Linked DNA regions of Struthio camelus. The protein of the gene in region 2 interacts with the protein of the main gene of each other region in a biochemical or structural test. Links are inferred from orthologs where the notes say so. Each region holds a gene or a part of one and is shown on either strand. Other genes may lie near its edges. The genes, in order: KCTD15, TFAP2A and CITED2.

Region 1 (8,338 bases), on a different chromosome or scaffold from region 2:
AAAAATTAATGCCATGTAAGTTACTTAAACAGGTTTAAAATATTCCTCAATATTGTCACTGTTTAAAAAGATGAGTGAGAGAACACAACAAAATGGCAATGTAAAAAGCTGAGAAAGACTGTGCTGAAACGGACACAGGACATCTCGGTCCTTGTGTCCAAAGTTTCATTTTGGGTACTATTTTTGGCTTGTAACAGTTGGAAACACAAGAGATGAGCAAATCTTTTCAATACTGTATTTCTTGACAAGCTATTTAATCTCTGTGTTCCAGTGTGGATTGCTTCTTTATATCACACTGGTGTCATGAGTTAGGAGTTGGATAATGGATGGTTTAAAAAAACTCTGTCTGAATTTAGTCAATAAAGTAATGGTTTGTAAACTCACTCAGCAGCAATTCGTTTCTTGAAAAGAGTAGAAGATCATTCAAGGAAAAAGAGTGACAAAACTCATTGATTTCCTAATGATCAGATTTTGTTCTTTGCATGCTCATGCTTACTGCTCCCAGGAAATCCCTTATCTGCCTACAAATGACAGACGATTATTTGTTTTAATTAGCAAACCCCAGGTCAACTTCCCATTCCAGAATGACCGGCGTGGCAACCGGCTTGAAAACTTGCTTGAACTGGGAGAGGTCTTTAATGCTTCTTTTTGTACTCCTTGTACATCAACTGACAGTAGCAAGTGTTGGAATCTCAAGGTGCTTAATATTTTCAGGTTTCTCACAGGAATAAACCTTTCCCCCTGGCTCAACGCCTGTGTGGCATCAGCCTTTCCACACCTTCTGCTCCCATCTCTCTTTGCCTCGCGGCGGGGCTGGTGCGAGTCACAGGATCCGGGCCCTGCCTCCTCTCGGCGGTGAGACGCGCGGCTCTTCCCTGAGCCTCCGCGGCCCATCTTCTCTTTCGGCGAGAGGCGGCTAAACTCCGTCACATCCATGAAACTTCACAGAAGGTAACAAAGTCGCATACGATTTACTGACTTAAGGCACACTGGAGTCCAACAACCAGCTTTGAAGCACGAATTTCCTACTCAAATCATCCCCCTGCCCAAATCAAACTCTATTTAGAATACAGCAGTCTCTTAATTATGACTGGGAAGAGTGTGAATCTATGTAAAGACATAGACTCCTTTGTTCTAAAGGAACAAAAATCTAATTCTCACTTATTTGCTTTAAACGTTTCATTAAATGATCCATTTTATCGCTTATTCACTGCTTTAGTTGAAAATGCCCACGAGAGTATGAGGTGTTTGAAAGAGGAGGATCAGGTAGTCTGTAGGTTTCTTTCTGCCTTGTTGAAGTTACTGGAAATATCAGTATCGTCGCCAGGAAGCCAGGATCAAACCTCAGGTTAAGATACACAACATAAGAAGCCTCAAGTTAGGACTTACAATACAAGGAAAAGAATAAGCAGTAAGCTAGGATAAGGCCTGCTAGAATAAATTCATGCAGGGCCTTTAAGAACAATAAGGAATTAAAGTTATGAAGTTGATACTCCAGTTTAGAAACCATGGTGTAAACAGAAGCTCATGTTATTTTGCAGTTCATAATACTTCCTTTCACATAGACAATACATTTGAAATCTGGTTTTATATATACATATATATGTATGTGTGTGTGTATATGTATGTATATATGGAACATCTTTTTGATAGATTTATATACCTTAAAATCTGTATCTTTTCATGACTTGGTCATTTTCCATCCTGGAAAATATGCACAATGTGTTGGTTTTGGAAAACATGAAAAACTGGAGAAAATGCACTGAGGTTCTTTATGGGCTTCTATTTCACATTGCATTAAAGTGACAACAAGTTTTCGACTTGTTTACTGAAAAAAATGAAACAAACTATGGAATAATAAGATAAAACGCATGTTACAAAATGTTGCTGTCCAATTTTAAACATCTGCACAGAATACAAAGAACTGTTGATAAGAAAGATGCAAAGTATTTATTTTGAAGTATTTAATATCTTAATAAAAACACATGCTGAGCATTTAGCCAAGAACTTTTAGAGCGCCTATGATAAGTTATAACCTATCAATTTTAATTATATCCTACAACTGAGCTCAGGAATCTTGTGTCATAAATTTTGCATTGCTTTATAAGGAGCATAACAGAATTTTGAGAAAGTAAGTTATGTTCACTTCTAAAATTACTTCTTTGTTCACTACATAGTATTTAATATTTTCCTTTGTACAGTTCTTAATAGTTCAGCTTTAAGTGAAACTCTGAAAAACAATGTTAGAATTTAAAATAAAGTGGAAGATTCTATTTTCAGGGTCACAAGTACCACAGCGAGATTTCTCTCTTAAACAATGACACTTAGTATCTCTGTAGTTCTATGAATACTTTTGAAGTGTCATATTAAAACCAATCTCTTGGCCTTCAGGCAAAGAGAAGCAATTAGTCTTGGAGTTGTGAATAAATAAAAATCCATTTATATACCCGTCCTTGACATGTACCTTGCAAATCTTAGAAACTTCATCTAGTGGGAAAAGAAATGTTAAATCATGAACACCAATACTAATCATATGGCAATGCTGCTTCCTAAAACTGTTTAGTTTGTATCAATCTTTTAAGTATTAATTCATATGTATATATTCATACATATTGAAATACAACAACAGAAGAACACTTGAATGAGAAGAAAGAAATGAGTGAGCGCACATAGAGCTATACTGCACACCTTTATTACCCTCAGCAGCAACACAGGCAAGACGAAAACTCAGAGCTCCCAAGTACATTGTCCTTTTCTAGACACCGTAAGAACAGCCCTTCACAAGTCACACGCCGCGTGCACATCTTCCTCGTCCCAAGCACTGCCGTGTGTCTTTGCTTTGATCCAAATACTCACAAACACACACAATCTTCGTTCGCCCTGCACGCCTTTGCCGTGTAGCACGACTAAATGGTGCCTTTCGCAGACGTGTTGGGATGAGTCAGAAACCAATTTCTGCTTTTTGTTCAGTGCAATATTTTTAGATCTTCTCTTTCTTCTTTACCGTGCTTTAACGCAGAAGCATCGTACTTCTGTGATGCTCTGATCGCTGCCCAAGATGATCATACTTATTTTTCACTTAGCAGCTAGTAATTCACAGAGGAAGTAAAAATTAAGTTGCCAAGCAGTCTGCCTGCACCCCAGCGAACGCGACCTGTTTAACCGGGGCCGCGTAATAGGCTGCTGAGCCTCAGTGGCGCTTGTCCTCCTTCTCCTCCACTTGTTGAGCAGCGCGGCCGGTGAGGGACGCTCGTCCAACGACCAGGCGAGGCAGCTGCCGGGCGACAGGCTTATGCTCGGGGGCCGGGGGGGGTTATTTTAGAAGAAAGCCCACCGTGCCGTGCGCTCCGCCTAGGCACTGCGGGCAGGCCCGGCCCGGGGGGCGGTGGAGCCGTGACCCCTGCGAGCCAACGTACCTGGGCCCATGGGATGGTCAAGGAAAACAAATCTGAGTCTGTTCTGGATGCAAATCTCTCAGCTGACCTAGTTCTCATTCTCCTTTTCATTTCAGAAGCTCAGCTAAAAATCCATAAATTAAGGAAATTAACTGATGGAGCCTCCGGCATCTTTGTAAGCTATTTAAATCTTTAAATTTACAACATCTTCTGCATATATCAAGTAATTGAACTAACTGCAGGGATGTAACTTTAATGAGAAAATTTCCCTCTTCTCCTGTAGTTTGTACTCTTAAAAAAAAAAAAAAAAAAAAGAGCTACCCTTAGGAAAAAAAGTTTCGGTTTATTCCTGCCACGGAAGATAACTTTACAGGGAAAAAAACAACTTCCATTCGAGGGGCTTCTGCCGTCCTCGCGCTGCTCCGTGCGGGCGCGGGCGCGGAGGGCGGCGGCAGCCGCGCTCCCTCCCTCCCCCCCTCCGCGCGCCCGCGGCCCGAGCGCCCCGGCGGCGGCGGCGGCGGCGGCGGCGGCGGCGGCGGCGGCGGCGGCGGCGGCGCGTTACGTAACGCTGCGCCGGCCGCGCCGCGCTCCGCGGCTAGTAGGCGCTGCAGCCCCGCAAGTCAGCGCCGGCCGCGGGCTCCGCACGCCGCTGCGCGGGCGCGCTGCGGGCCGGCTCGGCTCGGCTCGGCTCGGGCGGCCGCGGGGCGCCCCGCGGAGCAGCGGCGCGGTGGGGCGCGGAGCGGCCTGTTCCCCCCCCACACCCCACCCCTCCCCGCCGACCATCACCCCGCGGCCGGGCCCGCGGGCGCGGTGCGCGGGCAGCACACGGCGCTTGCCCAAACCCGCCGGCGCCGCAGAGCCACCTCGGCCTGCTTGGGCTGAAAGTTGAGGGCGGGTTTTGCTGTCCTCTCCCCCCTCCCTTTCCCCCCCCCTCCTGCCCCTCTCCGCCCCCCTCCGCCGCCCCCCCGGCGCGCGGGCGGCGGTGCGCGCCCGCGGAGCCCCGCGCCGCGGCGCCGCGCGCTCTAATTGCGCTGGCGCGTTTGGCCGGGGGCGGGCTGCCAGGGCGCGCTCGGCGGAGCACAATGCATGTCGATAGACGTCATTTGGTTTTAATGGCCTACAGGAAATTTGGCGTTTACAATGCGAGACATTAGCGGAGGGCGAGGAGGAAGGGGGCGGCCGCGGCCGCGGCCCCGTCTGCGCCCGCCGCCGCGGGGGGGCTGGCCGCGGCCCGGGGGGCGGCGGGAGGTGGTGGCTATTATTATTATTATTTATTTTTAAACTTGATCTAGTTTATCAACAAGTGCAGAGTGGGTGCTACCCTAATTGTAACAGAGGAGTCAAGAGATGTGAGAAACGTGCCCTGTGTTACTTATTTGGGAGCTGAAAATTTATGCCCCGTTGAAAATGCCTGGGGAAATATTACATCAGACCAAATGACAATGATTAAAATCAGCTTTTCCCCCCCCCCTTCCCTCCCCCCTTTTTCCTCCTTCTTCTTTTCAGTAAGTCTGTTGAAGGACGTGACAGTGGCCTGATCCTCCCCAACACCGAACCGTTATCCCCGGCAGGGCCGGGCCGGGCCGGGCTGCGCGGGGCTGCGCGGGCCGCGGCCCCGCCCGCGCGGCGCGGAGGGGCTCTGCGGGCGGCGGCGCCGGGGGCGCGGGCTGCGGCGCCGGCCGCCTTCCCAGCCGTGTTTCATTTTCAAGGGTTGTATTTTTTTATTTTTTTTTTGCGGGGGGTGGGAGTGGGGGGGGAATAAATCTGGAAATCCTCACCAAAAGGAGGGAAAAATATCCAATTTTCATCGCAAAATTAGCTCGGGCGAGAGCAAAGGGCTGAGCTAATTGTAGCCTAATCCTCTGCCCTGCAGGCGTTTGCAAAGCCCTGAGCAAGAATTCGCTTTTTTTCCTCCTCTTCTCCCTTCCCTCTGTTATTTAGAGACGGGATTATTGCCTTTCTTCTCATAACAGCCTCGGCAGTTTCATTTAAAGGCTTTTTTCCCCCCTCACACACACACACAAAATAAATAGAAGCAGCAAAAAAAAAAAAAAACAGGGAGCGAGACAGGGGAAAGAGAGCGAGAGCAGCTTTAAAAATAATAATAATCACAGCAGGATCCGAGGAGCAAAGATAGTAATAAAAGCCAAAAGCGAGCCCATCACCACACAAACCCAGCCGAGCCCAGAGCACAGGGGGGCTCGCTCGCAGCTCTCTTCTGCGCGCAAGGTAAGCAAGCGGCCGCGGCCGCGCACTGCCGGCGCGGCGCTGCATCGCCCGGGCGCGCCTTGGCCCTTTTTTTTTTTTTTTTTTTTTTTTTTGGAAAGTGCCTCTTCTTGAAAGTCGCTCGGCTCTTGGCTCCGGAGAGGCAGCGGCGGCGGCGGAGGGCTGGTGCTTTTTAAAGCTACAGGACGCGTTTGCAGCGGGCGCGCGCGCCTGTGTGTGTGTGCGCGGTGTGTGCGCGCGGTGTGTGTGTGTGGTGTGTGTGCGCGCTGTGCGTGCGCGTGTGTATGTTTTGTTTTGCTCCGCTCCAGCATGGGCAGCGCCGGCGGAGCCCCGCGGCCCGGGGTGCCCGCGCTCCCGCTGCCGCTCCCGCTGCCGCCCCGGCCCCGGCTCTGAGGACGGCGCAGCCCCGGCGCGGCGCAGGCAGCGCGGCTCGCTCCGCGCGCTCGCATGGTACGCGCGGGGCCGCGGCGGGCGGGCGGGGTGGCTGCGCGCCGCGGGGGTGCGCGGGCCGGGGCGCGGGGGCCGGCGCGGCACAAAGGGAAGGCGGGCGACAATGGGGCGAGCCGCGCAGGGAAACGCGGGCGGGCGGTGAATGAAACTCTGGCGCCAGTGAGAGTGCAAGGCTCGGCTCGGCTCGGCTCGGCTCGGCTCGGCTCGGGGGAGACTTCCGAGCACTCCAGGCTATAGTTTGCATCGCTGCTGCTGCGTGCGATGTGGCACACTTCTGCAAAATTAATACATTAGCCTGGCTAATGTGCACCACCATTGGCTGTGCACAGCATGTATAGGATCGGAGAGTCGGCTTTTCCTTTTTTTTTTTTTTTTTGCATTCATCTAAGACATCTCCTTTCTTGTTATGTGAGAATAAGTAAAGGACGCCATGTTGTGCCTTTTCTTTTTTTTTTTTTTTTGCTTGAATTTACCTTTGGGCATACGGTATGTTTAAAAGAAAAAGGCAGAAGTTCAGCGACCGGGGTGCGTTGCTTACTGGTGATTTCTCTGACCATCAGCAGGGAAAGGCATTTGGGTGACGTGAAACTTGCACTAAATAGACTGGAGACTGCCAGAGACAGGCGGCTTGGGGGGGGAGGAGAAAGCCTTTTTCTTTTTCTTTCTCTTCTTTTTTTTCTGTCTTTTTTTTGGGGGGGGGCGGTAACGGGAGCTCCACAGTGAGACCCCCCCCCTCCCCCGTAAAAGTTTTGGGCACGATCTGCTCTGTCACTCGGTCGGGTATTTTGTGAGCCAGCGTGGAGGTGTGTGCAAATGTTTATGGACTTTCAATTTTGGAGCCATCTGGTCAGAGGTTTCAAATAACCCGATCCCTTCTTTGTCTTTAGGCTGGGTTCACGGCATAAACTATTGTCTGCGAGTGGCTTAGGAGGCAGATTCAGAGCGCGCACTGCACGGGTTTATGGAGACAAAGGTAATTGCGAGTGTGGAGTTTGGACCCCCTGGCTGAGCGGGGTGCGGGCGCTGCAAGCGCAGGCACCGCCGTGAAGTCACGGCAGCGCCAGGTCAACTTCTGTGCCTGGTGTTGCCCAGGAGTGCTGGAGATGGGCAGGTCGAGGGGCTGCAGTGGGTGATTTTACTCTTCGAGCTATGGTAGAGCTGCCGTTAAAGAAATAAAGGGCTCTGGGGAGGGAAAAAAAAAAAAAAAAGGAAGAAAAGCTTCAGCGCGAATCCAATAAAGAAACCAGTCAGGGAACAGATGTTGGTGCTGATCTCATTACAGACGAGCCAGTGGTCCTGCCGCAGACTGGACTTTGCGCCTTTGCTACCCACCGCTAGCTGGCTGCATGTGGGCCCGGGATGCCCCCTTCCCACGTCTTCTGGGGAGGGGAGAGCTGTTTCATGGCAGGTCCTTAAACCTGCAGTTTTCATTTCATGTCTTAAATGTGCATGAAGGAATTAAACTGCACGAGTGAATAACAGCATTAGTTTCAATTAATTTTTATCCTGGCAACAATAAACTTTAGAAACAAAGCGCTTTTACATCCTTAATTAGTCTTGCTTCCCATCTGTAGTCTTTTAAGTGTCTGTTCCTTGATTTAACTTTGTCCCTCCTTCAGAGCTGCCTCCTTTTTCATTCTTTTCCCTTTTTTCTCGTTACCCTTCCAGACTGCTGCTTGTTTCTTCCCTGCAACCTTTCACCTCCCTTGTCCCTATCTGTCTGCTCTGCTCTGCGCAGTTTATTTCTACTGTATTTTCCCAACATCAACAGCAGTATTGGTTACCATGGCCCCGAGCTATGTGCAGAGGTGGGAAAGCTTCATCCGCCCAAAAGTTCTTACACTTTTGAAGTCTTTCTTTTAGTAGGATCTGAAATGTATCATCTAGAGTGTGTATTAAATGAACAGTATTCCTGAAGGCTTTAGAGCAAGAAAGGCAACACCCTGGAAAATTCTGCAGTCTTTCAGCATTCTCTGCCCTAGGGTTATAGCCCTGGGCACGGAGCTGAATGGAGCTCTTACAACTGCCTTCTGTTTACCTTTTATGGTTAAAATAACAGCTTAGCAAAGAAGCAACTTCATGGAGAAACGATTCAGTGAAATCATCTCAAGCTGTAGCAGCATAGCTAGTTTAATCACCCCTAGAGAGCTGAACAACTGTGAGCACAATGGGACACAAAATCATTTTGTGTGTAAATGAGCATGGCATTGTGATTATTTCACTTTGCATGGGCAAATAGTTTTTACAAGCAGTACTTATGCAGTTAG
Region 2 (7,454 bases):
TTTGTTTTTTTGGCTTTTTTTGTTTTGCGCTTTTTTTTGGCTTTTTTTTTCTTTTTAGTGTGTGTGTTAGTTTCTTAATCCTTTTTTTTCCTCTGTCTCTTTCTTTCTTTTTCTCCTTTGACTTAGCTGCCGCTTCACTTGAGCTCCTAATAACAGATCTGCTGCCTTCCTGGAGACTCCTAATAGCAGATATTCATGACTATTAATATTACACGAATACTTAATAAGGGAAGAATGGCTGGAAATCGAGCGTGAAGCGAGAAGGCAACTCAAGGCAGAGCCTGTTCTAAATGACGTCCATTGAATGAAGAATCAGTGTATCTAATCAGAGATGGGGGAGAGGGAGAGAGAGAGAGAGACAAAAAGGGAGAGAGAGAGAGGGAGAGCGAGAGGGGGGACATGCCGCTGCGTCTGACGAATCACAGGAAAGGGGCAACATTTTAAAAGGTTGCAGGGCATGCAAAAGTGAAAGAGAAAGAGATCCGGAGAGAGGGAGAGGGTGGGAGCCAGAAAAGGGGTGGGGGGGGAGTGCGGAGGGGGGCGGCGGGGCGAAAAGGAGAAGGGAGGGGGAGAGGGATCCCCCCTCCCCGTCTCTCCCCGGCCGCCCCGTTTCCCCCCCCCCTCCCCGCGCCCTCCCCAGCCCGGCGGTCCGGAGCGGGGCGCACCTCGGGCTGGTGCTGCTGCGCGTAGCCGGCCTCAAACGCCAGGGAGAAGAGCGGCTGCTGGCTGCCCGCCGCCGCCGGGCCCTTGCCGCCCTCGGCCGCGCTGCCGCCGCCGCCGCCCTTGCGCGGGGTGGGCTCCGCGGGGGCGCCCCCCGCCGCCGCCGCCCCGTCCATGCCCCTCGACGGCGCCCCGCGCCCGCGGCTGCCCGCGCCGCTGCCCCCGCGGCGGCCGCCCCGCCGAGCCGCAGCACCTCCGCGCCCCGCGTCCCGGAAACCGGCTGGGAAAGTTTTTTTTTCTTTCTTTTTTTTTTTTTTTGGGTGTCTCCCCGTCTTCTGATTACCCCTCCTCCTCCTCCTCCTCCGCCGCCGCTGCCGCCGCCGTCTCCCGCCCGGCGGCAGCCCGGGGCCGGGCGGCTGGGGCGGCAGGCGAGCATCCGCCGGGCTCCCGCGGCCCCTCCCGGGGGTCGCGGAAAAGAAGAGGCGGGGGGGTAAAGGCAGCGGGGAGGGGCAGGGTGGCAGGGCCGGGCAGGGGGGGAAGGCAGAGGAAGCCGGGGGCAGAGGCAAGGCGAGCGCTTCTCCCGGCCCAGACAAGCCGAGGCTCCGGCACAACCCGTCAGACTGGCTGTGCAACTCCCGGCAGCTCCCCCGACCGGCTCCGCTCCGCGCCGCTCCGCGCCGCTGCCCGCTGCCGCGCTCCCTCGGCGCCCGCCGCGCTCCGCGCACCGCCCCGCCGCTCCTGGCCCCGCGCCCCGGGGAGCTATGACCTCCCCGGGCCGTGAGGGGGAGCAGAGGGCTCCTGGCCTTTTTATTCCTTTTTTTTTTTTTTTAATTTTTTTTTCCTCCCCGAAAGCAGGTCCTACTCCCCGTCAGGGCAAAGCCACCCGCTTTTCCTTCCTCTGCAAGTCAGCTCGCCGCTCCTATCTGCTTCCAAGCAAAACCCCGGCGACAAACCGCACACGGACACACACAGACAAAAGCCACCGGGGCTCCCGGGAAGCGGCCACCGCATCGTGTTTGGTAGCACCTCGGTGCAAAGTCCCATTAGCACAAGGCAACAAAAGCCATTTACGATGAAATCCGCACACTCGCACGTGCACACATAAACACCGATCCTGGGGAGAAGAACGGGTCGAGACATGGCTTTCTCCCTAAATCCAGCTGAGGATTTTCTTTTTTCGCCTTAAAAAAAATTAAAATAAAATACCCTGACACCTCGTTCCTTGAAATCAAGCATCCGACAGCCGCTCGATCTCAGAGCTCAGCTCCCATACTGGGAAACAGCTTTATCCCGAACTGCTCGATCCAGGGCTAAAATACTGAATATTTTAGTCCTCGCTGCGTCTGACGAGTCCTCGGTCCCTTCCCTACCCTAACGGCATCACAAAAAGCAGCAGCGGTTTCGGATGGGAACGTGCCCCCCCTTCTCCCCCGAAATGTGTGTCGGAAAGGCTGCCGCCGAGGCTGGAGGTGCCTTCCCGCATGGGCTGCGACCAAATAAATACATTCATTTGCAAAGTGGAATCCTTTATTGCGGGGTTTAAATGCACTGCACAGGCAACTTTGGCGAAACGTGTGACAATAATATTCGTTGGTTGGAGGCTAGGCATTTGTCCTGGGCATCACTCTTCTTCTTTTTTCGTCTTCTTTTCCCTTTTTGTCAGATTAATAGACACTCGCCTCGCTCTAAAAATATGGATGCACGTACACACACTCATGCACACAACCTGTGCTGAACGGCTCCAAAACCAAATTAGGTGATTTTTAATTTTTCGAGAGTTTAAAATATTACTGCTCAAAGCCATGGGAGTGAGCGCCTGAAAATTAGGAGGTTGGGGGAATATAGCTCCAAACCCCCTGATTTCACTCCAGCAAGTGACCACTGAAAAAAAAAAAAAATGTACAGCTCGGCATTACCAAACCAGCAGCTACCTCCAAGATGCTTACTTTAAGCGCCGGTCCTGAGCCAATCTATTGGGATGCCTCGGGTACCTAGCATGTAAGAATAATTCTTTTCCCTTTGTCTTTTTACCCTTTCATTCATTCATCCGTCCATTCATTCGGCCATCCATCCATCCATATGGATGAGTGTAGCATCCTACAGAGCCTTATCTATACAGGATCTACCTATAGACAAGGCTGCTGCTGCATTCTCCGTCCTGTTTTTCTTTCCTCATATACTTCCGACAAAGCCGGCTTTCCACAAGCCCCGAAGTTCCTGGGGAAGGATCCCCAGCCCCTTTCCAGCTGCAGGACTGCAAAGAAGCCTGGCGAAGGAGCAGAAGTTTTCCTAAACGAAATTCAGAGATCGATGGATGCTGCAGCGTCCCGCTCCCGGCTGGCGGGCCAGGGCTCTGCCCCAGCCCAGGAAAGCGCTTACCTCACATTCCTCATACTTGATATTATCCGTCAGTTTCCAAAGCATTTTCATGGATTGGCGTGAGAGAGGATTTGTTTCTCCCTGTCTTTCCCTAAAGTGGTGCCTCTCTGGTATGCAGAGTGCGGCTGGCGGAGGCTCTGCCGAGCTCCTGTGCGCGCTCTGAGATCTCCCTCTAATGGTAGAAACTTTTCCCTTTTCCAGCTCTTTACCAACAGCCTAATCGCCTCATTAGCATATCAACAATAGTCCAATTGCTCTCCAGCACAACAACCTGCAGCAATGGACACAGGTATAAAGGCCCCACGAGCAGAAAGGCTTTCTGCCAGCCGCAGAGCCCGGGCGCGGGGGGAGCCCGCCCCGGCGCGGCGGCTCGCAGCCCACCGCCGCCCGCTCCCACCGCGCCCGGGGCCGCCGGCCGGACACCAGCGGGCGAGGGGAATCAGAGAGGCTTCATGTGCACACGGTTTGGGGCTAGCCATCGAGCCACCACTTTTTTTTTTTTCTCCTCTCCCCGGGGTTTAAAGAAACCAAGGAGAGGGGAAATGAAGCTCTAACGGGGTTACAGTCTGCGGAGGCTTCTGTTGCCCTCTGGATTTGATTTGATCTTTTAGGGGGGTGTATTTGGAAAGCGTCCTTCTTCTGTAAAATTTTGTGTTCCTCTCGGCTCTTTCGGCTATTGATCTTCCAAAAAAAAAAAAAAGATATACAACGTAACCTCCCTGATAAAACTGGGTGCGCAGCAATGCGAATACATCAGGAGCCAGAAAGTCTTTTGCATGCACTTCAGCAAAGGGACAAAACAATGACCATAGTAAAACTTTGGTCGTTCCTGAGGTGGAGCGCTTCGTTTGCTTAACAATGTGCAGCTCAATGAGCGTTCATTCTGCCCTCCTTTAGGGTTTCTTTTCCACCCTTCTTTTCTTTTTCCCAGGTGCCCAGCCTTGCTCCATGCATTTTCTCTCATTTTCCTCGCCGATCCCACGCCGGTTTAAACAGCTGGGCCGAGCCGCGGTGAGGCCCAGGCCTGCCAGCCGCTGAGGCTGCCCCAGATCTGGCCCAAGCCCGCCGGGCTCCCAAATCCGCTGAGGAGCAGGGTGCCCCCCCGCTGTCCCGACCCGGCTGGGAGGGGGAGCGGGAGCCCCCGCACACGCCCCAGCTGGCTCCCCGCCCTGCGGGTTTCGGCTCCCCAGCGTGCAGCGGCCACCTCAAAATTTCCCGGTGCCAACGGGAAACCTGCCCTTTCGGTCTGGGAGCCCATCACCCGGGGCTATCCACCAACGTCGAGGCGGATTTAGTGCCCCGCGGGGCCAAGAGCCCCCGGCGCGGATGGCCGCGGGGGGAGCCGCACCTCGGCCCCAGGGTGGCCCTGGCGCAGGCGCTCCCCAGAGCGGGGAAGGGCCGCGCACACGCCTCTCGTCGGGCTCCCAAAGCCTAAGGGCTCCGGGGCCTGCTGGTTCCCCTGCACCCTCCTCTACCCCCTCAAAAAAAAAAATTTTTTTTTTCTTTCTTCTTCCCTGCCCCCCCCCGTCCCCGATGGTCTTTTTGACCATCGCTTTTGTCTGCAAGTGGCAGGAGAGTAAATTGTTGTTTTTACTCCCATTGAGGTTCAAATGGAGCTGGCAGATTAAGCCTAGTTAATACGGGGGGTGAGGAGGACTAGGAGGCGGGGGGGGGGGGAATAACGCATGGGGCCATCACGACTTAGCGCCGTCCCGGTGGAGCCAGGGGGCGGCCGGAGCGGCACGGCCCGAGGGGGCGACTGCGGCTGCCGAGGGGCCTGGTCCCCCCGGGGCCGGCTCTGCCCTCGGCCCCGCTTGTGCCCCGGGGGGGGCCTCTTTTCCCTCCTCTGCCCCAGGCTGGGCTGGCTCAGGCGTAGCGGAGAGCCCGGCTTCCTCTCCCCCCCCCCCCCCAGAAACGCGTCCCGGAAAAACGGGGAGGCGACGCGCAGCGCGCTCCGCGCAACTTGCGCGCCCCGCGGGGGTCAGCCCGACCCCGCCGCGGCCAAGCCAGGCGGGTGCCCCGGCACCGCCGGGGGACGGGCAAAAGCGAGGAAGGGACGTAAGATAAAGTCGGGAAGAGATTTCAAGGAAGATAGCCCGAAAGTGGGATTACATAAGAGTTCACTTCAGTACAAGAAAAAAAGGAAAAAGAAAAAGCGCCCTCTCTTTCGGTCACTTCAACGCACCGAGCTGATAAAAGGACGGCTGCTTTTACTGTAAAAGTGCATATTTGTTCACTGCATTTTCTTCTTTCTTTCTACTCTAAGAAAATCGATGCGGCCCAGAGAAAGACTTAATTGTGGCATTCGAGAAGTAGAGAAGAAGGTGGGCTCCCATCTTGCACCGGACTGTCCTGGAAAAAAAGTCGTTTTCGCTAATAAAGACCTAGGTGTTTGAACAGGACAGTTCATCTTCTGCTTCGTTAGTTGGCAAAATCTCGGCGCTCCAGCCTGCGTGGCTGCAAAAACCAGGAAGCACTAACGATTTCGGGGTGTCTCCATGTGGGAGTCCGCTGTAAGTCCACACGTGTCAGCTTGCCTTTGGCTTGCGGTGGTTTTTTCCTCCCCCTCTCTGGTGGGACCTTTTGGGCGGTTTGGGTAAGGCCCAGGGAAGAGAGGCACCTACAGCCCTTTCCTCTTGCTGCTTAAACTCGTTCAGCTCATTTTTTCTCACGCCACTAGGACCGTCTTCATCAGAGGCTCCCGACACTTATTCCGCAGCGTGGGATCCGGGAGCGTGGTTTTCGCCGAGGCTGCCCCGGGGGAAGCGCTCGCACACCCGCCCCCCCCAGCCCTGCCCCAGGCCCGCCGAGCGCACCCCTCGCCCGCCCCGGCGAGGCCCCACTGCTCCCCTCGGTACTTTTAAGCGATCCTGGAGACGCTCGGATCAAGCCACAGGACTTTGTCGCCGGCCCAAGGGATCACACGCGTCCCTTTGTGAGCCCCGACGGGGCAGACTCGCTGCCCCCGCCGAGACCGGCGCAGCTCAGCGCACCCCCCACGCCGGCCCGGACTGCCGCCGCTGCCGACCTGTTGCGCCAAGGCCTGGCCGGAGCGAGGGGCCACCTCGGGCCACAGAGAGCCGCAGGCGAGGAGCCCCGGCCCCGGCTTTGCCCCCGCTCCCTGCCCGGCCCCCGAGCGGGGCTCCGGGCCACTCACCTTAGCGGCCGCAGCTCTGCCTCCCTTCCCAAAGCAAAAATTAAAAATAAATAAATAAAAAAGGAAGGTCGCATTACCTGCCAGTCCCCCATTTTGGCAAGAATAGACATCCTGGCTGCGCGTTGAGTATCCCCAGCTCCCTGACGGTCATGGACTGCGAGTACGAGCCGCTCGCCCGGGCTCCCCGCGGCTAAATCCTGCCCTTACCTGCACCAGGACTGTCTCACCTGGCCATAAAGAGCTGGGTGCTCCCTGCCCGCGCCTGCGCGCTGCCTGCGCGCTGCCCCCCGCCGCCTCGCTCCCAGCGCGCCCGGCCCGGCCCGGCCCGAGGGGGCGGCCCGGCCCCGGCCCCCCAGCGCTACCCCCGCCGGGCCGCCGAGGGGGGCGCCGGGGAGGGGGCCCGTGCAGGGGCGCCTGGAGGAGGAGGAGGAGGAGATGGGGAGGAAGAGCTGTCGGCGGCACCTCCACGCGTGCCCGTCCGTGCGAGGGGCCGGGCGGCGGCGGGCAGCGCCCTGCCCCGGCGGCACCCCCCGGCTCCGGCCGTGCCCTGGGCACGCTGCCCCCGGGGCAGCTGGCGCCGTGCTGCCCCGCTGCTCCCCCCTTTCCCCCCCCCCCCGCAGCACCCTGACGGGGCAACGCTGCCCGCCGGTAGGGGGGAAGGTGAGGTCCCCCCAAATCTCCCCTTCACCCCTCCCCCGCCCTGCCGGGCCGGTAAATTTTTTTCGGCGGCAAGTTGCAACCGAGTGCGTGTCCGCCGCCAGCTACAATAGTGATAATAATAACAATGCCCCAACAATAGCAGCCCCAAAGACAAAGTAAAGATGTCCGGGGGGGGGGGGAAATAAACCAGCACAAGTAGGGAAATGGAGATGCTGTGAGCGGGGGGGGGGGGGCTAGGGGGAAACAAAGAGCGGCCAAATGAAGACGATCTCCCCCAACTCCCTTCCGTGTTAAGAGGGTCGGGCAGGGGGGGGCAGCCACCCGCAAGGTGGGAGATGGGGCGCCGGGGGCTCTCTGCGCCTGCGGAGCGGGTCCAGACGGGATGCCCTCGCCGCGCAGAGCCCCCCCGGGGCCCCGCCGAGCTGCCCCGGCGGAGCGGAGTCAGCGCAGGCTGGGCCCTGCGGGCTGAGCAGATGTAAAGGTGTGGGGTGAGGGATGCTGCAGTCGCTGCTGACGATCTATGGGGCTCTGGGGCCTCCCGGTGCCACCCCCCCTCCCCCCAACTCCCTGGTTGTTCCTTCGGGGACTGAAGTGCCAA
Region 3 (8,404 bases), on a different chromosome or scaffold from region 2:
TAAATATAATAAATACTTTATGCATCATAACTCTGGACAACTACATTTAAAGCAAGTATGTTGGCAAGTCACAGAAAAAGTTGCATCTTGGCAACTTTATTTTTCATAAAACCACACTGACAGGCATATTACAATGTTACGTATGAGGCTTTATGCTGTAAGTATGTTTAAATCCTGCTCACCTACTGAGTTCACCATGACATATATATGGGTGCAGTGTACTTTCTATTTTGGAATGTCTTTTTGAACACCAACAACAGTTGTACAGATAGATGTTCTACTTACCAGGGACAGCGGGGAGAGTTTTGAAGAAAAATACTGGTAAATGACTTCTAGAAAAACTAAAGCATTTCTTAACTTTTTATTGACATTGGCAAATTAAAATAGAATAAATTAACAATATTTTCTCAAAAAAATGTTTTGTACAAAAATACTGTCAAAATTTCCTGAAAAGCTTTCAACACAGTAGTATCTTTTCATGTACTGAATAAACTATATTAGCACAGTGTCAAAATGCTGAAGACAGAAACAAAATAATTATAATTAAAAAAAACCAACTGTGAAATGTTTGCCACTAGTCAACATTCCATCCACACCATATTATTGTCTGTACATATGGGGGAGGGGGACTGGGTAGCAGACTTTAAGTAACAGTATTACTTTTCCTGATTCGGAAAGGTTTGGCCCACATCTGTTAAGCTTCCAGTTTAGCATATTCAAAAAAATATATATATATATTTATTAGTCTGCACTGCAATGCATAGTTAAAAAATGAAGCAAGATGGCAGCATTTGTGCAGTAGTATCTGCCCTTCAAAGTTCATGCAACCAACTAATGCAATTTTTTCCCCTGTTCACTCAGAATTTGAATGCAGTTCAAGTCATTGGAAATCATCGTTTACAAAATCCACAAGATTAAGCAATTTGCCAAGATTAATATCTAACAGTTCAGCACTGTGGAAATCATGGGCATGTTACTGCAAGGAAATTAAGAGAGAGAAGGGCAGGGGGAGGACAACATAAAAAGGCAGAGTTAGCTAGAAATTATTCCTACAGGAGGGGAGGTGAGTGTCAAAGCTACCCCAAAAAAAAAAAAAAAAGTGGCAGCAATTAAAAAAAAAAGATTTATACAAGCGCATAGTTTACTCTGCTTTCCAGATTCTCACCTTTTCAAGCCCTGAAAAGTGAGACACTGTGTCTAAGGGAATGTTTTCATTCACACCGATAGAAAGTCCTTTGTTTGTTTTCAATGAATCAGCAGCTCACCCTGCTGGGCTGCTGTTTGCAAACGAAGTCTGTCATGAAGTCAAACTCGTTCTGTCCCAACCACAGCTCGGGCAGCTCCTTGATGCGATCCAGGCCCATTTCGATGACTAAGGACATGAGGACCTCCTCGTCGATGAAGTCAGTGTCTATGACATTGGGGGGCAGCATTGCCGCGGGGCCGTGGGGGCCGGCGGGCGGCCCGCCGCCGCCTCCGCCGCCGCCGTGCTTGGGGTCTCTGCAGTCCCTGAAATGCTGGCTGCTGCCCGTCAGCTGGTGGCTCGCCGGGTGCAAGTCCGGCATGTAGTGGCTGTGAGGGTAGGGGTGGTGGCTGAAATACTGGTTGTTCAGCTTCTGGAGCTGCATGCTGGCTGTGAGCTGCCCGCCTTGGCTGGCCACGGGGGGGGCCATGAACTGGGAGCCGCTAAACCTCGCGGCGGGCGGCATGGTGCTGGGAGGGTGCCCTCCGTTCACGCTCCCGGGCCCCATGGCGTGTCTGATCCCGCTAGTTGCGTTCATATTTCCAGCTCCGTAATGTATATGGTCGCCCATCAAGGCGCTGAAGGCGTGCTGCTGCTGCTGTTGCTGGTGGTGGTGATGGGGGGTAGGAAAGGGACCCATTCCCATCCGATGGGCAGGGTGGTGGTGAAGCCCGCTGGATCCGTCAGGGAATCGCCCGTGATTCATGGCCATCATGTGGTCTGCCATTTCCCACCTAGAAAGTTAGCATGGGAATATATTAAGAAAAAAAAAAAAAAACCAGCCCTCAGACATCAAATCTCCCTCTTCGGAACTCGCTGCATGTATCTGTCCCTGAGAGAAATGACTTGGCTGGTCCCGCCGTCCTCTCTTTCAAAGAGGGAGGAAAAAAAAAAAAATCTCCTACCACGACTCTACCGTAGAGTACAAAGCGAAAAATAAAAGACGAGTCTGCAGTGCAAAAATCTCAGTCCCCTCTGCAAATCCAACGAGCAACACGCCTTCCCACTTCAACTTCTGCATACCTATCAGCGGAAAGCGTTGCATACAGCAACGACCACCTCCTCCCCAACACGTTCAAAAGGCTCCCAAGCCCCCTGGATTTGCCAGGAAAGGGAACATTTTTAAAAGACACTCTCGATAACTTGCAGAGAACAAGCAAAGAATTAAATACGTCCCATCTAGCCCTTGTCAGCAACTTTTGGAATTAAGTCCGAAGATTTTTTTTTTTAAATATAGTACTGCACAGATAAGGAGATTAAGCCACACAGCTGAGGACTACCTTCCCTCCCCCGCCCCCCGTGTATTTAAGCAGTCACATTTTTTCCTGTTGCACACAAAAGGGACACACAACACCAGCCACAGAAGCTCCACACTCACCTCCCTGCTTCTTTCTTCTGTCGCTTCAAAGGTGTCGGTGAAATCAGTCAGTAAAAGTCACCCAGCATAGAGAGGGCTTCCCTGGCTCTCTCCTCTGCGCTTACGTGATGGTGATATTATTGCTATTGCTGCCGCTGCCGCAGACCCAAAGCTGTTTTTCACTCCTCCGCGAGGCTCATCGGCACTTGCCAACAATGAGCTGTGTTTCTTACCCAGCTTTGGCCACAGCTAATATAGGATTTCAGAAGGGAGGAGCAAAACCCTTACAGGCAACCAGAAGTAAAACCTGGAGCAAGCGAGGGGGAAAAAAAAAAAACCCCAGCGCGCGCGCACACGCACGCACACACACGAACACACACACACACACACACACACACACACACACGCACACACACGCACGCACGCACGCGCACACACACACACACACACACGAAGACACGCAGAAAGGGCCAGGCGGATCTGGAAGGCATCCAAGGAATCCTGTTCCTTCTGGCTGAGCCACACGTGTGTTTGCTGATCACTTGTGCTCTTGCCCGGAGGAGCCCGCGCCGCCCACCCGCGGCAGCGCTGCCCGCCGTGGGCAGAGCGGGGCTCCGGGCCGGGCGGTCAGCGGAGCCCCCGCACCCCGCGGGCCACTCACAGCTGGGGGTTCCCCCCTGCACCCTCCCAGCCCAAACTAGCCGGCTCCGCTCTCGCTGCTCGCCCAGCTCCGGTCATTCCCGCCGGCCCCCACCCTGGGGGGGCGCTGCGGAGCTGCGAGGCGCGGCGCCGCCGGCCGCGGACACGCGTGGGGCTCGGCGCTCCGGCAGCGCTGCCCCCGGCTCAGCCAGGCTCGTCCTCCCTTCGGCGGCGCCACGGCCGCAGGTGCCCGGCCCCGCCGGCGCGGGCTCTCCCGGGGCGCCGCGTGGGCTCCCCCGGGGCCGGCCCCTCTCCCGGCGGCGGGATCCGAGATCCACTTTTTTCCACAGACATGGGCGCCGCCGCCGCTGCCGCTGCCCCGCATGCCGGAGGTGGAGGAGAAGGGGGTGCCGGCACACGCTCTCCCTCCACCGGGTTTGCCCCACGAGTTGCCGGCCGTCCCGCGTGGGCAAGGCGAGTGCTGACCCTAGGTCGTTTTGGTGGGTTATTACGACGGGTTTTCTTGGAAGGGCAAAGGAAAAAAAAATGCAGAGCGTGGATACATGCTTTGTAAGCGTGCTCCTCCCGGCTGGGCACGTCCCCTATCACCTATTTGTTCTGGGCAGTACCCTGCCTCACAGTACAGTGGCGGTGACTGGCCCTGCTCCGGCCCAGCAGGGGCAAGAGCGCACAAAATCCCCCGACAACAGCGCTCCTGTGCTTGCAAAATGCACCTCTTGCTCCAAATCTACCAGCTCCTCTCTGAAGGGTGGCTGGGCTGAAATAGCATGCAAACACCGAGGGGGAAGGGCAGAGGCCAGCTGCAGAGAAGAACTGGATGATGCCCTTTTTTCTGTGGTGTCTTCACCTGGCTTCCCCCTCTCCGCACCCAAGACCAGGCACTGGGCCGCTGCCCGCTTGACTGCGGAGGAGGCAGCTCTAGGCAGGCTGCCCCCCAGGAGCCCAAGAACCGTGGGCACCTTTTCAGAGGTCAAAGCAGCCATCATGCAGGCTGAGCTGGAGCTTCTGCTCCTCTGCGAGCTGTCCAAGGACACAAGAGCGTGAGAGGTGCACCAGGTTTCTGAGGGGAGGCATGGGCAAGGGCAAACAGGCCATCAGGAGCAGGCCTGTCAATGCAGCTGGCCTCTTACCCCCTTATGGATGGGCCAGGCCCTTGCTTGGCCACAGCAAATTGCAAAGGCGAAACCAAAAGGAGGGTTAACTCCACCTGTCTCCCGCTGTGATGGAGGCTGAGCTGGGTTCCCGGGTGCAGCAAGGTGCAGCAGAGGGTAATTCCCTGGGTGGCTGGTGCAATCCAAGCAAAGCCCTGCGAGCAGGCAGCCGAGGATGGGAACGTACAAGGCGCCAGAAGAACGCGCTGCAGAAAGCCCAGCTGTGAAGGGTGGCGAGGATAGAACTGGAGGGCTGGGAGAACAGGAAGTCTTGCAAGTGTCAGCATTACCTTGAGGAAGTGACCTCATCCTGTGGCTAGATTTCTTGTGGGATTAAGTAGGATGCCTACCATGATGTCACATTTTGGTCTTCTCATGTGTGTGAGTAGGTGGACTTCTGGGAGGTGCTATTGAAGCAGGGCCTCTTATCTAGCCAGGGATGGTCAGAGAAGCAAGAGCTTTCTACAGATTTCTCCTTCTCGGGGTTGTGTAGGTTTTACAGGGCAAAACAGTGAATAATAAGAAGGTCCTGTTCCGTGTGGCAATTACTCAGCAGAGTATCATGACAAGTGGTTTGTTTAATGTCACATATCCATGGTGAGATTGGTGTGCCTTTTTGCTCTCCATTGCCTTAAGTTTGAGCTCCTTTCTAAAGCCAAATGTGTATTATATCACAACACTTTGAATGCCCATTCCTATTTTTGGTTTTCAGGTGCTGGAAGCTGGTACTGGGTGCTAAAGTTAGTTACGGAGAATTGACATGAGACTGCCAGAAGAAATAGTAGGCATGTCACAGCCTCTGTGACACACTCATACAAAACATATTTTCAGGTATTTATAGCCCATCTGCAAAGAATTAGGCAGGATGGATCTTTCTTCATCAGGGATTGCAATGCGATCCAGATAAAGTTCAGCAGTGTGGTGCAAGATGAGCCAAGTTTTTCATTGTTAGATGGTTTATGGCCACAGCATTCTACAACAAAATGGGAATACAATCAGTTGGTTGCTTTCCAGGAAATGGCTTGAAGACTGGTGACAAGCAGCAAAGGGAATGCAGGACAAAGCATGAATCCATCACTGTAGAGCTACTAGGAAACTATGAATCTCATCTGTTTGCCACTCCTAATCTGAGCCACAGTTATTTAAAGCAATCTTTTCAGTGGTATTCTTCAAAGTCTTCTGCATACCTGAATTGGTTCTTCAGTCAAATAGTAAGAAAGTGGGACACTGCATATCTGGAGAACACAGGAGATGGCCAGGGGAGGGGATGAAAGTGGAGACGTTCACCAAATCACTCCTCAGTGAAGAATCTGAGTATCATTGAAAGCAGAATGTGACTGCTGTGCCCATCTAGAAAGAATCACTGAGAAATATCAAATACAACAGTAGAAAAGAAGGAAAAAGATGGATCCTCAGGAGGGTGTTAACATTTTCAGTCAGAAGGGCATACAGGAATTGACCCTGGAGGCTACCCTGCGCATTCCTTCCCGACTGGAACATCTGCAGAGTGTGACAGAACAGAAAGGAAAATCAAAAAGGAGAATCCAAGATGATGTTTTTCCAGGTATTTGCTGAAAATGTTAAATGAATGCTTGCAGTTCTAGGGATACATCACAGGAACTGGATATACAGGGCAACGAATTTCAGGAGGACTTGGATCTCTAAGTCCTTTTTGGCAACCCTGAAAATACAATCTGTAACTCACTGTGACTTGTTTCTCCCATATCACCCTGGAGACAAATTTCTGTGTGTTCCACTCTGGCACAAAGCAGTCAGGAAAACTCAGTTTAGGACATCTGCTAGGGTTATCTGATGGGAAAATTTATATTAGAATGATATCCTGGAAGAAATGCCCTTTCTGTAGAAGTGATTAAGCTTGAGAAGCTTATTGAGAAGGCAAGTCATGATTTTCCAGCTACTCCTGTTTTTGACCCGCTCACAACTTCCTTCAGTCCGACCCGTCCCAGGGGCACATGGCACTTGGGAGAGAAGAGGGAACTGTGGTGCCGGAGGGCCACAGCTCTTTGCTTTACCAGCAGTGAGGCTGGATGGCTCTGGCTGGTTTCATTTTCTGTCTCTAGAAAAAACGATGAACTTGACAAGCATGTTCCAGATGGGCACCCAGGAAGCATAGAAATCTATTTCAGTCTCTCAACATGCATTTTTTTCTCCTCGAATTTCCCTTTGTGAGAAGAACAGTGGTTTTTGGTCAGTGGGATAAAAAAGTAGGGTTTTTTGACTAGGAGAAAATTCCATTCTTTGGCATGCTTTCCTGAGAGACCCATTTTGGGGGCTGACCTGCTGGAAAGCAGCTCTGAGGAGAAGGACCTGGGAGTGCTGGTGGACAACAGGTTGACCATGAGCCAGCAATGTGCCCTTGTGGCCAAGAAGGCCAATGGTATCCTGGGCTGCATGAGGAAGAGTGCTGCCAGCAGGTCGAGGGAGGTGATCCTCCCCCTCTACTCAGCCCTGGTGAGGCCTCATCTGGAGTACTGTGTCCAGCTCTGGGCTCCCAATACAAGAGACACATGGAGCTCCTGGAGCAAGTGCAGTGAAGGGCTACTAAGATGATGAAGGGACTGGAGCATCTCTCCTATGAGGAAAGGCTGAGAGAGTTGGGCCTGTTCAGCCTGGAGAAGAGAAGACTTGGGGGGATCTGATCAATGTGTATAGCTATCCGAAGGGAGGGTGTCAAGAGGATGAGGCCAGGCTGTTCTCAGTGGTGCACAGCGATAGGACAAGAGGCAACGGGCAGAAACTGAACCACAGGAAGTTCTGTCTGAACATGAGGAAAAACTTCTTTCCTGTGACGGTGAGTGAGCACTGGACCAGGTTGCCCAGAGAGGTTGTGGAGTCTCCTTCCTTGCAGAAGTTGAAAAGCCATCTAGACACAATTCTGAGTAATGTGGTCTAGGTGACCCTGTTTGAGCAGGGGGTTTGGACTAGATGATCTCCAGAGGTCCCCTCTAACCTCAACCATTCTGTGATTCTGTGATTATTCTTATATGGTTTGATGGGGGAAAGTGTACAGTGGGCACAAGGTTAGCTATGGGCCTGGGCATGAGATCCTCAGAGTATCTCAGTGGGAGGGAATGACCTTGCTTGTTCTTCAGTTTGAATAACAACAAAATCAAGACTACAGAACCAGAAGAGAGAGGTTTACTTCAGGTTGACTCAGTTAGTTCAGTACCAGGCACAAGCTTCCTAAAATTGTCACAGTTCCCCTCTGCTGCTTCCAGACACCGGCCAGTGTTCCCCAGAGCTTACCATCTGTCCTTCTGTTTCAATGATCTTCTCTATATGGGAAGGCTACTGTTCAATGAGATAAAGTAGTCCGACATATAACTATGCAGCCCAGGTGTGGAAGAGATGACCCAACAGGAATTTTTGTCAGTAGTGGTGTATGTTAGAAGGAATTAACGGATTGATGTCCAAGCAAAAGAAAATCTGTGCTGTGTTCCTTACAGTTGGTCAGCATGGGAGAGTAGGTGGAAATGTAAAGAGAGACAGAGCATGCGCTATCTCCGCTAGTCAGCCTAGGACTCATTTTTTCTTTGCTGGGTTTCACAAGGTAATTGATGTCTCTGCTGATTAGAAGTGGTTACTCTGCTGAGAACAGTGGTTACCAGTGTATTTATTAGCAACAAATCTTTATAAAGAGCAAAGAGAGTTACTGAAAGCAATGAACTTCCCAAACCATTTGGAGGTAAGTTAAGGGTTTCATGAACTTGCATCCCTTGTTTGTGTGCCAGGAGCCAAAGATGTACATATCAAAGTAGTTTTCTAAATTAAGGAACATGGGCTATGCAAATTGTGCTAGTCTCTCCACCCACCTTTTCCTGTTTGTTTAGATGGCTCAAGATAGTAATATATTTATAATGGTAATAATGAATGTGGCTTTGCACTCTTTGTCTGTATTGTCTTTTTCCTGTGAGAAAGTCTTGGGAAGGGTGACAAGCTACATCTTTTTACTTTAAGCTCTGTCAATGCAGT

What was found.
Region 1: the proteins of TFAP2A (region 2) and KCTD15 form a complex in vitro, tested with the Homo sapiens proteins (2 studies listed by BioGRID, with this or other methods). The link is inferred for Struthio camelus from reciprocal best matches to the Homo sapiens genes TFAP2A and KCTD15.
Region 3: the proteins of TFAP2A (region 2) and CITED2 form a complex in vitro, tested with the Homo sapiens proteins (2 studies listed by BioGRID, with this or other methods). The link is inferred for Struthio camelus from reciprocal best matches to the Homo sapiens genes TFAP2A and CITED2.

Annotation. Positions count from the first base shown.
Region 1 is NC_090951.1:11,807,191-11,815,528, reverse strand, and holds the start of KCTD15 (BTB/POZ domain-containing protein KCTD15), read left to right. Parts: upstream 1-5,036; 5' UTR 5,037-5,624; intron 5,625-5,765; exon of another isoform or gene 5,766-6,068; coding exon of another isoform or gene 6,069-6,071; intron 6,072-6,139; exon of another isoform or gene 6,140-6,557; intron 6,558-6,958; 5' UTR 6,959-7,032; coding exon 7,033-7,044; intron 7,045-8,338. UniProt on the Homo sapiens protein: During embryonic development, it is involved in neural crest formation. Inhibits AP2 transcriptional activity by interaction with its activation domain.
Region 2 is NC_090943.1:101,341,029-101,348,482, reverse strand, and holds the start of TFAP2A (transcription factor AP-2-alpha), read right to left. Parts: upstream 3,216-7,454; 5' UTR 3,091-3,215; coding exon 3,040-3,090; intron 1-3,039.
Region 3 is NC_090944.1:75,328,596-75,336,999, forward strand, and holds the start of CITED2 (cbp/p300-interacting transactivator 2), read right to left. Parts: upstream 3,128-8,404; 5' UTR 2,622-3,127; intron 1,978-2,621; 5' UTR 1,971-1,977; coding exon 1,254-1,970; 3' UTR 1-1,253. UniProt on the Homo sapiens protein: Transcriptional coactivator of the p300/CBP-mediated transcription complex. Acts as a bridge, linking TFAP2 transcription factors and the p300/CBP transcriptional coactivator complex in order to stimulate TFAP2-mediated transcriptional activation.